3 linked regions of the Saccharomyces cerevisiae S288C genome follow. Changing the gene in region 2 together with the main gene of any one other region gives a genetic interaction. Each region holds a gene or a part of one and is shown on either strand. Other genes may lie near its edges.

Region 1 (4,530 bases), on a different chromosome or scaffold from region 2:
GTAAAACGAAGATTTGTACAATAAAAATATTGTTGGTTTAGCTAGATTATATTCTCCGATGATTTTTTAACTTCGATTTCCATCAAATTTTATATTAGACAGTAATGGAGTTTCAATTTCGAAGTCACTTCACTTGAAGCTGAATTATACTAAAAAAATTTTCTTTTACTTGATTTATTGCTCTGCAGTGTCTGATAGTGTAATGGCGGATAATGCAAAGAAGAGTAAAGGGAAGATATTTTATTTCTTTGATTATACAAAATTTTTAACTTGTATGTGATCCCTGTCTTTAATATCGTTTCATTATACAAACTAACTACAGAAATAGCTAAATGAGTGATTACTGTGCCATCATTTTGACTTCAAAGATCATCTATATCTTGATATAACATCTACCTGTCGAAAGTAAGATCATCCCTTTGCGGGCATGTAAGGTGTAAGATATAAGAACAAACAATTGCTAGAAAATAGCTTTGAATGAATGTTAAAAGGGACTGAACTTAGAAGTGTGCGATTTTCTGTTTTCAAAATTTGCCCAAAGCGCTTCTTTTCTTTTTAAGAATTGTATAGATGTAATTATTTAACGGATGTCTGACATTATTGAACCTTCCTAACTCCACAAAAATAACCAACGGGACCTCTACCTTACTAAACCACTTCCCGCCCCATTAACTAACCAGCATAACCTAGACAATACAAGGAAATGTACTTCGAAATTTTAAGGTAAACGCAATTCTTGTCACAATATAAAGCTCTCACTGTGCTCATACACTGCTTCGATAATAAAAACCAAATGGTTTCTACTAAAACATAGCAAGCCTCACAAGATATAGAGATCACACACCATTGAAAAAGAAAGTTCAGCAAGTTTGCTGGAGGTTGCAAAGAGACTAACGAAGGGCTTTCATAACGACATTTTACAGTTATTGATAAAAGAATGCTTTTACGACAGCAGAACCTATTGGTTTGAAGAAGATAGAGGTCTAGTAGTATATTGTTGCTTTAATGATTCAAACTCTTAACAATGTGGGCAAATATGCGTATGATTTCGTTCTGGGAAAGGATAGTAAGAAGCCTTTTTGATTACAAAACCGTGAAAGACGGTTTAGCAGCTTTTACAGGAAACCTGCTTTACCTTAGCCAGTGTTTTCTCATCTTCAAAAAAAAGTATTGTACGCAACTCTTCCATCTAGCAGAGCTCCCGCTCTTTTTCAAACAAGTTTCATTATATTTATTCTTAATAATTTTGGTATCATCGAGGTGAGGTCTTCGTTGTTTCAACACCAGCTATTTTTCAGCGGCTTACAATTACGTAGTTCTATTAACGAATACACTGGGAGGTGAGTATAATCATGGACTGTAACACTATACGACTCCAACACGTTATATGTATCAGTTATATATATATATTATATTATTTTGGGAAGAGTAGCATTGCTTTTGAAAGTACACGGGGTTTACTTTGGCTCATAGAATGGGTCTGGATATGAAATTCTGAAATATTCAGATTTTGGAGTACTGAAAATATTTAGCAAGAATTTCAAATATTAGTTAGTAAACCAAACCAAGGCATCTGAACTTGAACCTCCATAACTCGCTTTCTAACATAATGAGCTTGTATGACATAATATTATAGAACTCGAGGTTAACCTTTAAATATAAATATAGTAATCTTCATGATAATAATTTCAGGGTAGTGCGCGTATTTGTCGAAAAAACGCAAAATGACAGAAATTCTATGTTTACTGACTTTAGATTTTGTTTTAGATCAATTGGCGGAAAAAGGACGCAGTCTGTAACTTTGATTGGCATCTTGATTTGATTTGTTGGGTGGTTCTCTTACAATCAATGGTTTATTTCATGGAAAGCTTGATGACATGTGATAGCACACCATGCTAATTAGTGAAAAGAGTCCTTGTTGACTTACCACATGTGCAGCCGCCTTTTACCGTGGTGCGAAGCATATTGAGCGGCCTGGAGACCAAGAATGTCAGGGCCTTTAAACAATAGAAGAAGTGTATAGGAAAAAACTAAGGTGTTTTGAGATATTTTTTATAAAAGTAGTATTTCTTAAAAATCAGCGGGGAGCCATTCTTTGAAGGCGCGCTTGCAAATTTTAGGTATTGGGCTTGATTATTTTGGCAAGTGTCATGCATTGTAACAAATCTATATAAAGTGACAATTCTGGAACACTGTATCGTAATCCCAAATAATGTATGTAGAATAGAAAAAAATATATGAAAAAATGAATAGATCATACACAGACGACATGAATAGCAGCCCTCCAAATTACTTGACAACAAGGACGTTTAGAATCGTTAGATTGTTTGCAATAATTTTTGCACTGCTTTTGGTAGCGTACTCATTATTTTTAAGCACACTTAGAACTGGAGCTATACCTGACCGCGCCAACACTGCTGCTCTAGTACGGCGAGCTAGGTGATCATTTGCGACTGGATTAGGACTAGGAGGATTTTTAATTGCTGCAGCCGCTTATGCTACTCCTTACTGGGTCGCAGCAACCTGTATCGCATCCACTAGCGGAATATGTTCACCTATAGCTGGTGCTGTTTTAGCAACTTCAGCAGTTATAGTTGCAGCAGTTTTAGTGGGAAAGAGTTCTGGCTCAGCAACAAAGCGAGGGTTAAGTGAGACTATTAATGTACTGAATCATACTATAACACTCACTGATCATGTGCTCAATGGGCAAACATTGTCTAATGGTACTGGTAGTAATTTTGTTACAATAGAGTTTAGTGGGTATGCAGTACATGACACTATTAAACGTGACGGTGCTGCTGAGATCAACTTTGTGGGGTATACTACGGAGCATGGAACCCACATCAGCACGAGTAGCGTACATAATGTGAGCATGCTCATCGATCAAATCGTGGCAGCGGTACCAGGGGTACCTGATATAAGTGGCAACGCTTCGGCCCTATCGTTACAGAGACGCAGTCAAGAGTTCGCCACCTCATGGATATCAATGACATATAGTCAGAGTTATGGTGACCTGGCACAGAACTGGCAGAATGACGAAGGTGGAGCAGGAAATTTTGATTCTTATGCTGAAGAGAAGTTACAGAATTTCTTTTCAGGTAATAGGGATTGGAAATACTGCTTTGCTGCTGAGGACACGAAAAACGGTGAGCCACTTGATTACGATGACATACCTGGTGACGGTGCAGGCACGGGTTCGGCATTCAAGTCTGAGATATATTTTAACACTTACGGTGGTATAGATAATTATTGTAATGACGAGCATATCGGTGCTCAGAACACTGGAGATGGTCGATAAAGCTTTACGCCTGTCGCTGAATTGACTGACCCGAAATTAAGAACTGTTGACGTAGTGAATTACGATCTAGTTTATATGTCATAATGTAGTAAGTTTATTGGACCCTTCTATATGTTATGTAAATGTAATAATTACATAGTTACTGCTTTTGTACATAGAAACTATAGTTTCTTAAGTACTACCGGATTAGAGGTTTGCTACTATATGTTTTCCTTGTCTCAAGCATTACTGAAACAACTCTGAAACAATACTAAAACATTACTCATATCATGCTTTTGGGTTACCACATTCAACAATAACTCGAATACATTTATAAAAAAAACAAAACTAAGGTACAAAACACACACCACACCACATACGCGCTGATTGGTTTTATGGAAGCTAATAGTTCAGACATAGCTCAGAAAAATAATAATAAGTATTATCAAATATAACTCATCTGGTTACATGCTAAGTTCTTGTCAAGTGATATAGCGTTATCTTTATTATTGAATTAAATTCTATAATTAGAATTCGACTACACCAACTAATGACTCTAAAAAATATGTGATTGCCCTTCAAGATTGCATTATTTCTCAATGCATTACATACATAGAGTATACTAGATACAGATAGATGATTGTAAGTGTTGGAACAAGATTCAATTATCATCCTATTTATTGCGATAGACGCACTACTTGAGAGTGATATACTTACTTATGCTACTGCATTCAAAGAGTACCACTAAACAATCTCAACAGAATCAATCAGACTTTTTTTTGCCACAAAAACTTTTAACGATGTCCTTTGGCAGTACTGTATTTTGAGATTAAAGGCGTTCAGTCAATAAAAAATCTAAATTCTTGTTCATTTTCAGTTCTGGTATTTTTTTCATATTAATGATGGGGTGGCTCTGGAGGCTCATTTTTCCCACTGAAGATCGCTGGTAATTTCGTTCGTATGTTTTAAAGAGAACTATATCCTGTCGCCAATTATGTGCAGTTGATGAGAAAACTAAGATAGAAATAAGTAGGGATGGAACCAGGATCCACAAGAAGCGCGTTTAGCCGATCCGGCTTATCAGGTACGAGAAGCAGTATTATTAAGTAAGAAAGCGCGCAGGAAAGCGGCCTTTTGAAAGCACGTCTGCAGACATCTCACGACACATTCCCAAATAGGGCCCTGCTAAAAAAAAAGCAGCAGAGCGTACGTTGCCTGGGAAGCATGGTTTAGCGTGTTGCTATATTATGGTA
Region 2 (4,866 bases):
ATTACCCACATATATCTCAGTAATTCACAGTTAACAACAGTTGATAAAAAATATTCTGTATACACGTCCCCACTCTGTGATAAAGCTTCCTGTTTGCTTGTAAATTAAGTGAATTTTCAAGGGCATTATCAAAGGCCTTAGTAATAATGGTAATAATATATGGATACGAAGAATTTTTCGTATAATCGCATGCATTATTACTTAACATATTTTCAGTTGAATAATTCATTGAAAGAGCGTCTGACTCACAAAATGGCGCAGATTTTGCCAAAGTATTATTAATTTGTACACTATTATGAGAGAGAGTTACCCCTTCAATACCCTTTTGCGTACTATTTTCAAGACATGCATAGCTACCCAACAGAAATGCACCTAGGATACATATCCTGAATAAGGGATATATCATTATGAGGTTAAGTGGCCTAAAAACGCAATTAATACGGATCCTTGTACTATTAAGTCTTTTCTATCTCTGAAAATTAACTTAAGAAGCGAGGCTATCTAGATTAGTGTTGATGTATATGTGTATGCTGTCCTGGTGTAGCTGTGGTTTTTATAGATTATCTCAGATTTGTGATACTCTGTAAGTGGCGGCCTCATTTTGTCTCTCCTTGAATACGAAAATTTGTGGGCTAAAGATTTATTCTCATCAACAAATCAAGTAACAATCATTCGTGTTGGAATAAAAATCAAATACCGTCTATCATCTAACACCGTATATGATAATATATTGATAGTATAACTATTGGTTGATAGACGATAGTTGATTTTTATACCAACACTAGGAAACCACAATCCAAGATGAGATAAATATAGAGGAAAATACAAGTTTGAGTTTAGATCTGAAGTTACCTTAACATTTGTATAAGCAAATTCGCTACGCGACTCTCACATCAAAAACTGCTTCTATGGCCAAGTTGGTAAGGCGCCACACTAGTAATGTGGAGATCATCGGTTCAAATCCGATTGGAAGCATTTTTTTGAATACTGAAAAATTAAGCTGATCACCAAACTCATGTAATATATATGCTTGACTATACAAATTACAGGCTTCTTCTCATATTTTTCTGCTCTACGTTAACCTACTTTAAACAGTCCAAAAGGCTTATGTTGTCCACATGAAATGCCTAAAACAGATGGCCAATATTTAATTTTTTTCCTTACTACATTTAAATCTGTATACTACCTAAATATCCTCTTTCGCTACTGTGGGAGAAGAAGAAGAATAACTCTCAGTTTATAATCTGATCTAGGCACTCTCAGATTGCGAATTAGCTTTTACAGTAAACGCCCCATCGCTCCATTTTTTGAAAGAGTCTAGAAGTTCATCATTTTTATGTAACTCTGCTATCTCAGTATAACCACCTCTGGAAGTACCACCGATGATAACGTTTGGGACTGTTCTCCTACCAGTGACTTTTTCAATCTGGTCTTGTAGTTCTTTTGTGTGTTCGTGCCTATCCAATTCTACAACGTAGTAAGATGGAGAAAACGTGTACGAATTAGTCAACAAAGCTTTCAGTTTTTTGCTATATGGGCAGCCAGTCTTGCTAAATACAATCATGGGTGACTGTTCCATTATTTTGTTGTATTCTGCAGCGGCATCAAATTCAGCGTCCCCACTATTTTTATCAACTTCTTCGGCTTCCTTATCTTGTGTATTTACTGTATCATGGACAGATTGGTGAGTGCCAGGTGCATTTCCTGAATTGTCAAACGTCACCAATGAATCAGGATGGTGAGTAGTAATACTTTCGTTGACGCTAGCATTCGAATTCCTTAACACAAAAAACACAACAATGAGCAGTAAATTAGTTATTACCAAGACTCTCACGTTTCTTTTGTTTATAACAATAGCCATCTCTAATTTTCTTCAGTTGTTTTGCGTTTAATTTGAAAATTTTGCTTCTTTCCAATATATAGGTTTTTTCTTTTATTTGATTCGAGCTTTTTCACTGAGGGGATATGTACACATTGGCAAATATCCTGCCGAAAGTACTTCTTTATTTTTTTTCAAAACGCAGTCCCACTTACCGGTATGACGTAGTCTCGATTCTCAAATACACCCGGGACTGCATATTTATACATCTGTAGTAAAGTCATTTTATATGGATTGTGAAGGAAAAAATTTACATAACTGGAAGATAAATAAACATAACTATGTAAGGAATAGTAATAAGAATGTAGAAAACGCCAATGGAAGTTGTCCAAACTATAGTCCGACCCGTTGCATATTATTTACCGGCAATCGCCTTATCATGAGTAGATTCTAAAAATGCTAATCTATCGGTGATGTAACCACACACTCTTTTCCATTCCGTTTTATCCTGCCCTAAAAGGTCATCGAGATATTTGAAAGGATTCTTATTAACACAAACATATTCGTTTAAAACCTTGAAATTCTCTAGTTCAATATCGTAATTTTTTACCTTTTTTAAGGCCGTATATGAACGAGCAGGTTTACCATTCGTAGTCAAAAAATTGCTTTTAGATAAATCGTATGGGTCAAACTTTGGGAAGTTTGAATGGATGAACATAACATCTACATGATTCTTGGCATTTAAGTCCTCGTTGTCGAAAAATTCTTCGGTGTATTTTTCGAGGGAATAGTTTTTGTCAAACTTGATTGCATCAGCTGATTTAGTGCCACCGTATTTGTTGCCAATGCTCTCCATAGCATTTAAGTAACGGCCATAATCCTGCACAAAGTCGTGTTGTAACATTGCTACACCATGAAACCCGTCTTCATCATGGTAGCCTTCAACGCCTGTCCTTGTTCTAACTTGGTAAAATGATAGACCATAAAAGTTTGCAGCGGCAATGAAAGTTTCCTTATCACCTTCACCAGCAGCTTTTTGAGAAAATATTGGGTAGTACCACGTTGGTCCATTGACGTTGTAGAATAAAGATAGAAGAGCCGTAGCCAAATGCTTCGTTTTGTTTATCATCAGTTGGCCGGATTCCGTAGACACGTCGGGTATTGTTCCGTCTAGGTCACTTAGCGGGACGTCACTCAAATCCTTCAAATCCTTTGTGTAAACAGCAGGTGGGGTGATATCGTCTCGAGAATTGCGAACTCTCTTTTTCTTGTCCACAGCAATACCTGCAATGTCGTAATACAATGGGTGAGTTGTACGCCTCCAGAAATCGGGCCACATGACCAAGCCCGTAGACACATATGGTTCTTCATTGAATATGTTGTCTAGGGGTTTGATGGGGAAGTTGTCAGCATCCAGTAAGAGCAGGTTTTCAAAACTAGAAGCGATAAGGGCCAATGATTTAAACTGGTATCCTTTGAAAACAAATTTTTCAATCGTCTCTCGTGGTAGAATATCTGAAACGTAAATACACTTGGAGTTATACTTAGGCAGAATCTTGTTACAAAACTCAGTTTCACCTTCATCACCAGGAGGGATCAGGACTTCCACAGGTAACGTGGTCCCCATATTCCTTAAAGTCTTAATGATCAAAAATGCCATAAGGGAGAACTTCCCGCCACCCACTGTGGCTATACCGGACCCTTTGTACGTACCCTTTGGCGAGACGAGAGTCGCTATATGCTCTACGTAGTCCTTATGGCTTTTGGTCAGACTTGCTACTTCATCCGGAGATAGTTCCAAACACTTGGACAGCTCCTTAGCAGACAACTTGTAAAGATCTTTGTAGTGGTCGGGACGGTCTCCAATGTCACCCTTTAATAAGCATGCCTCGTTATACTGCTTTGCAGTACTCCCCTTGGGCGAATCAACCATTAGAAAGTTGAAAACGTTGTTGTAGAAGCTTTTCAACTTTTCATTGCCTGCCTCATCATTGTCCCTCAATGGGGTTGAATCGTCAGCGCTGGCGGCGTCTGAGGAAGATGAATACTTATTGGAGTAACTCTGGACATATCTGTCTAAGTACTCCTTGTACTCCTTGACCGACGTGTTCTCATCCATGTATTTGTTTGTAATGACGAACAGCCCGCACAATATCAAAACTATGAACGTCAGCTTGAACAGCTTTGAAAACCTTTTGGTAAGCAGCATACTGAAAATATAATTTTACTGACCTACCTACACTGATTTGTCTCGAAGTAGATATGATACCTTGAGCAGCACGAGGATATTAAAAAGTAGGGCAATTCTGCTTTTAACGTATAAGCAACACCAAGTACACGTAATTTATTTTGATGATTCTTCTATATTTTTTTTTTCTTCATTGTTATTTTTTCACTATCTTTTTCATCCCTCCGCAAAAGGACGCGATCCTTTTTTAGCACGTGAACGGTAATAACGGGTCCTGGACGATGTATTAGAGTCACCTAATCACCAAGCGAGCCAATGGCGACTCACTTGACTTGCATGTTTGCATAACCTATTTAGCGAACCCTCCAACTTCTGAGCGCACCAGCTTAACTTGTGCGCTAAGCTGCCTTGCCCGACATAGTGCCATCGCTCATTCCACCTCACACCTGATTAACTAAAAGTTTTAAAACTACGGGACTGCGAAAAAGTAGAGCTACGTTACTGCAGACCTACAATAATTGCACACATCGGCCTGATAACGAATGCTTCTAAAATTCTACTGTGCTACTATCGGCTGGTCGCGCCCGACGGGTTCGCTCAGCCGCTCTGCGCCCTCTTACTCTTCAGCCATTCTGCTGCGGCCGAAGCTATAAAAGTATGTCAATTTGGCTTTTTCCAAAATCCCCCTCTGGCTCTTTCTCTTCTCAAGACAAGCATTGAAGAGACTCACTAGTAAGCTTAAGATAGTCCTACACACAACCACCATGTCTGCTAACGATTACTACGGCGGAACCGCCGGCGAGAAGAGCCAATATTCCCGTCCCTCCAACCCGCCACCTTCATCCGCTCATCAGAACAA
Region 3 (6,141 bases), on a different chromosome or scaffold from region 2:
GTATATCAGTATTCAAATAAAGAGACGTCTGTTACAATAGGGGAAAGCATTCGTGATGAAGACGTATATATCATCCAAACTGGTTACGGGGAACATGAAATCAACGATTTCTTAATGGAATTACTTATCTTAATTCACGCTTGTAAGACGGCATCAGTCAGAAGAATTACGGCAGTAATACCAAATTTCCCTTATGCTAGACAAGATAAGAAGGATAAATCGCGGGCGCCCATCACTGCGAAGCTGATTGCCAATCTTTTGGAAACTGCGGGTTGTGATCATGTTATTACTATGGATCTCCATGCTTCACAAATTCAAGGGTTTTTTCATATCCCGGTTGATAATTTATACGGTGAACCAAGTGTGTTGAATTACATAAGGACCAAAACAGATTTCAATAATGCGATACTGGTATCGCCTGATGCTGGTGGTGCGAAAAGGGTGGCTTCTTTAGCGGACAAGCTGGATATGAATTTTGCCTTGATTCATAAGGAGAGGCAAAAAGCTAATGAAGTTTCGCGAATGCTGCTTGTCGGTGATGTTGCTGGTAAGTCATGCTTGTTGATTGACGATATGGCTGACACGTGTGGTACGCTGGTGAAAGCCTGTGACACATTAATGGATCACGGTGCTAAGGAGGTTATCGCTATTGTCACACATGGTATATTTTCTGGCTCAGCTAGGGAGAAGTTAATAAATAGTAGGTTATCAAGAATTGTTTGCACCAACACGGTACCTGTTGATTTGGATTTGGACATTGTCGATCAGGTGGATATCAGCCCTACGATTGCAGAAGCTATCAGAAGATTGCATAATGGAGAATCAGTCTCATATTTATTTACACATGCGCCTGTTTAAAGAAGAGGTATAAACGAATATATTTGTATAAATGTACTAACAGATATTTTGAAAAAAAATGCGTATATCTATTCAGTATTAGCGCTTATGCTGCCACCAATATTCTTCATCTGGTCTCTATGAGATTTTCATTAAAGCTTAATCTTTTCTGATTTACCGCCCTTGCTTTTGGAAAATATGTGAAATTTTATTGTGCTCTAAAAAAAAAAAGTTATTACAGTAGGTGAAGTGAAATACAACTAAATTCGAAAGATCAGGAACAATAGAAAGAAACGTGGAAATTATTTAAAAAAGGAAGAAAAAATGGTACACTAATATTGATACTTTTAGAACAGATGGGTCTCAACTATATGATGTATCGAAACAATCCCGATTTATTTGATGAAGCTCAATATTCTCGATTTTCTTTTTTGCTTATTGCGTTTTTTATCATTTAATGGCGTCTTGGTTTCTGCAGTCTTAACTTCAGGTATATTCCCCAAGGTCTTTTTGCGTTCAATATTTGCAGCTGCCCTCAATTTACGATCCCTTAACCAATCATCGCATTTTATTAACTGTTCAATGTTATTGTCAGTCTGCATTTGATCTTGACTAGAAGTGTCTATATTTTCATTTTGATTTTCGGTCTTATCAGCCTGTGTTTCTTTATAGAATAAAACGTAGGCTGTAGTTTGATCACCTGGATGACCTGTGAATTGTAACACAGTTTCTTCTTTTATGGATTCCACCGTTTCGTCATCATACAAAAGCCACCCAAACTTTTCGTTCCTGCAAATGCATACGTAATGACCATGCTGTGGACCGCTCCCCATATGGATGACGACGCCGCTTAGTTCATATTTTTTATATACTGATGTATTAAAAGTGGAAGAAACATCCAAAGTTAGTGGATAGAGTATTTTGTTAAAAAGTTTGATGTTTGACTTTTGCTCCTCTGAATACTTGAATCTTTTTAGGTGCAATGACAGAATATGGGGCAGTTGCTTCAGTCCGACCATACGTTCTGCTTCTTGTAAACCATAACATTTGTTACAATAAAATTTGTTAACCCCGTTCAACATCTCACGCTGATGATAGCTTTTTAACATCTTCTGGATATCAGTCTCTTCATCACCCTGTACTTCTATTGGAAAGTCTAAAAATGGTTCGTCCCTTGAGGTGATATTGTCACAAGTTAAACATTTGATCCTATTCGTCAGTGTACCTTTGAATAAATCCGTTATAAAGTTGTCGTTGCTGTTGTCTGTCTTTTGTGGTCCGAATCTCATTCTGGGATTATTGCGTTGAATATATTCACTGAAATCATTTAATAAAAAGTTTAAAAATTCATGGGCATCTTGTTGCATCATAGTGTTGAACAAGACGTTTTCTTTTTTTAAAATTTTGACAAACTCTGTAGGTGAAACGATACCGGTTAGCGACAAGTTTTCAGTAATAGACTCAAATATATCTTTTAGTCCATTGTAAAGTGTAGCTTCCTCGGTTGGATAAAGTAAATGATCTACGTTAAGAACGGGGCCTCTAATTAAAGCGGCTTTTTTTCTTTGTTCACTTGTTGGAAACGTATTCTCTTTATTATTATTAGAATTGTTGACAGCATCGTTACAGCTCTCAGGGTTAACAAGGACATCATCATCCACTGATGTAATCCTACTGCCTTGTGAATCACACTGGCAATGCGAATTTGCTTGACAATCTGTAGTTGAAGCTTTTGATAAGGAATCGCTTTGCTTTAAAAGCGGTCTTCCCACAATAATTTTTTTACAGCCTTCGTGAAGCTTCTCTGTTAATGTATCAGAGGCCATTACAACTGTGTGAACAGGCTGAGGCCGTTCCATCTCATTGTTATCATCTTTCTTTGCAGAATCTTTATAGTTCGATTTATCTTTTCCAAAACCCATAAACGAGTTCCTTTTTCTTTCAAAATTATTCTGTTTTTCTTGAGTAGAAGAAGAGGAGTTATCTTGATCACTCTGCTGAAGGTGGTGGTGGTTATGTGCATCTTCATTATCATTGCTTTGGTACCCCGTATTAGAATTTCCGCTATTAGTAGATGTTTCAAAACTTTCATTAGTGAATACCCTTATTTTTGAACCCTTCAAATCACTTTTGCGTATTCTGTTTACTGCGGCTACTCTTTCAGGATATCGCAGCACATTACACCTAAATTCGGGGATATTATAAAGGCATTGTAGAACGGAGTTGCAGTAGCAAGTATTCCCAAAATTTTCATAACCAAACACTTTATTGGAACCATCCCCATATGGCATTAAATCTGTAATAGTAGTAAATAGTATGGAGGACTCTGTATCGAACGCACGATCTTCATATGTAGTCGAGGAATCGTACTCTCTTTCATCTGAAGTACTTGCCATATTATGGTAATGCTCATGGTAATGTTTATTTCCTGCAAGGTTATCCGTTTGACTACTAAACTTGCTTCTTCTTTCATGGCTCGCAAGATTAGAAGGTATGCTTGATGTACTACTCTTAGCACTTGGTGATTTCGCTATGGAGGGATCTCCAGAACCTTTCGTTTTCTTCAGGCTAGTTGCTTTCCGATTAATTTCGTCATTACCTTGAGTGTTCTTCTCCGGGTGTGACTTTTTCCTATTCACAGATAACCATCTTTTTATCATTTTTCATATGGAAGACTCGTTGCCTTTGGTAAATGTTTTAATTTTCTGTTTATTACTGATAATGCAAATACTTTTTTAAGGATCGAGCTAAGGTTTTCGACACATTCAAGCTTGTTCAAGCGAAAGGTTGAGTTCGCCCCTAGAAGTTTAATAAAATCGGAAGTTCCAAATACAGCTTCGATGGACCTTATTGAATGCAAGAGAAACGTTTTCTTGTGGGGGGGGCGTATATCGTTTGGAAAGGAACAGAAGTGCAACTTTTTCAACCCATAATAGAAATCGCGCATTGACATTAATAAACGCGATTTCCGGGGTAAAAACCGCATATAAAGTATATATGGCGTACAGGAGCCCAACTGCTTTTTCTTTTGCTGAAGGACAATTGAGATACGACAGCGTGATGCTTTGTTGGAAGGTGGCTCCTAACCCCATACATACACTGTATGATGTCAAAAAAGTACTCCGATACGGGGAGTCGAACCCCGGTCTCCACGGTGAAAGCGTGATGTGATAGCCGTTACACTATATCGGATTACAATACACGTATGTGTTGCATCTCAAAATGGAATACGTCAGTATGACAATACCCACCTAAAATATTCATAAAACACATATTGAGATGTTGGTGAATTTTAAAATAATTGTTGGGATTCATTGTTCGTAAACGCTATAATATTGCGTATACAGAATATACTAGAAGTCTCCTCGAGATATGGAATCCATAAAAGGAGAATCTGTTGGAACGAGAGTAATTAATAGTGACATGAGTTGCTATGGTAACAATCTAATGCTTACATCGTATATTAATGTACACCTCGTATACGTTTAAGTGTGATTGCGCCTATTGCAGAAGGAATGTTAAACGAGAAGCTCAGACAATACTGAAGCTGTGTTAAACACCTATTAGTTGAACATGTTATGGTAGGTACATATATGAGGAATATGAGTCGTCACATCAATGTATAGTAACTACCGGAATCACTATTATATTGGTCATGATTAATATGACCAATCGGCGTGTGTTTTATATACCTCTCTTATTTAGTATAAGAAGATCAGTAATTATTTCTTCATTAATACTATTTTTTTACCTCTAATTATCAACAGAATCGATAAATCTACATATTGTTGTTATTCTTTTTTCTTCCATTTTATATGTTCTCGTTTATTATTCTATCACGATCTGAGTCCCTGCATTTCGGCCTCCATTAAATTTGATGAGTGTTTCTCAATTTTTTATGTCATCTTCCCGCACCGTATATGATTGTATACCAGTATTATGAATATCAGTACACTAGTTGATAGATGATGGCTGATTCCTATTCCAAGAAAGTTTTACTTAAACTTTTATATTTCTACTATAGGTTCTTGTCTGAGTAACGGAAACCACCTGCTCTAACAAAATCTTAGTTTAGTTCAAGGTTACATTTGCTGCATAATCGTTGTGGTTCTGGAGTTTTATCCCGCAACGAAATTCTAATCTATGGTTGAAATTTAATTATGGAAAAACTCATTTATGATGCTAAGCAAACAGGTCTTAGTGTGAGGGGGCATTGATCTTGAAAAATAGTCAATCCTACCCGCAGAAATTACTCCACAAAGGTCTGAAAGGAGACGCTGTTGCGTATTTGATCAATGAGGTGTATACCTCTTATCTTAAGCGGTATATAATAGCTTTATATCCCGATACTTGAATTATGCTTATGTAGGAAGAAGTGACACTGATTGCTCATTTGTGCCATTATAATGTAAGCGTTTGTTTTACAAGTGTTAGTGAAGGTACAATGTATGTTATTATTTTTTTTCTTCATCGTTTCTTTTCAAAAGGATGAGATTTTGTTTTAAAATATTACAGATTTCCGCACCAAAAAGTAAATATTATGAAAAAGACACATTAATTTCAACGCTGGGAAAGTAAATAAGTATAACGTCGTATATGATAGAACTAAGAAAGGCCGTGACTTAACTGGTCCATAGCCAATGCCACGGCATTAACGATAGTAGTGCTCAAATACATCTAAAAATGCAGCATATAGGATCTGCGCTAAATAACAGAAGGAGTTTAGTCAGGTTTATTTATTCGATATACAGCAAAGTAACAAATAGTAACGAAAGGTGTGAGGATCAGTCTATTTTTGATCAAACAAACTTCTAAAGTTAATCGAACTTCCACAGTTTGTGAAAAAAAAAACAACAAAATAAAAGGAAAACGAAGTTTGTATTTATCTATTAAATCAACTTTTTGGCTGCCACAGCTTCATGGGAGGTTTTATGATATTTCTGTGCCGAAGGAGGATGTCCTCGCGAAACAAACCCTCCACTTCTGCGAGCGTCTTCTAGTATTCTTGCCGATTCAGTATGCCCTAAAGCCGCCGCCTTCTCATACAATGCCATAGCATAATCTGGATCCGAAATGATAAGATCTTTATATCCCGTCATATAAATATTGGCTAATTCAAAAGGAGCACCACAAACAAAGCTGCTAGCCATAGATGTAGCCCTTCGCAACCATCTATAACCATCCATTTTGGTTAGAATATCATCTGGAAGACCCATCAAACCATGATACGAATATACTCCTAATTTGTACATTGCTGCAGGATGGTTCTTAGTTGCAGCAAAAGTCAAAAAGTTAACCGCCTTC

The links. A genetic interaction does not mean that the proteins touch.
Region 1: mutations in GRX7 (region 2) and YER187W together harm fitness more than expected from each alone (negative genetic interaction), as found in Saccharomyces cerevisiae (one large-scale study listed by BioGRID).
Region 3: mutations in GRX7 (region 2) and UBP9 together harm fitness more than expected from each alone (negative genetic interaction), as found in Saccharomyces cerevisiae (one large-scale study listed by BioGRID).

What each region holds. Positions count from the first base shown.
Region 1 is NC_001137.3:563,358-567,887, forward strand, and holds YER187W (uncharacterized protein), read left to right. Parts: upstream 1-2,872; coding exon 2,873-3,298; downstream 3,299-4,530.
Region 2 is NC_001134.8:265,476-270,341, forward strand, and holds GRX7 (glutathione-disulfide reductase GRX7), read right to left. Parts: upstream 1,862-4,866; coding exon 1,250-1,861; downstream 1-1,249. Other genes in the region: YBR013C (uncharacterized protein), read right to left, coding at 17-406; alpha-1,2-mannosyltransferase MNN2, read right to left, coding at 2,235-4,028; cysteine-rich palmitoylated domain-containing protein CPP1, read left to right, coding at 4,772-4,866.
Region 3 is NC_001137.3:352,822-358,962, reverse strand, and holds UBP9 (putative ubiquitin-specific protease UBP9), read right to left. Parts: upstream 3,498-6,141; coding exon 1,233-3,497; downstream 1-1,232. Other genes in the region: ribose phosphate diphosphokinase subunit PRS2, read left to right, coding at 1-858; SHC1 (Shc1p), read right to left, coding at 5,727-6,141.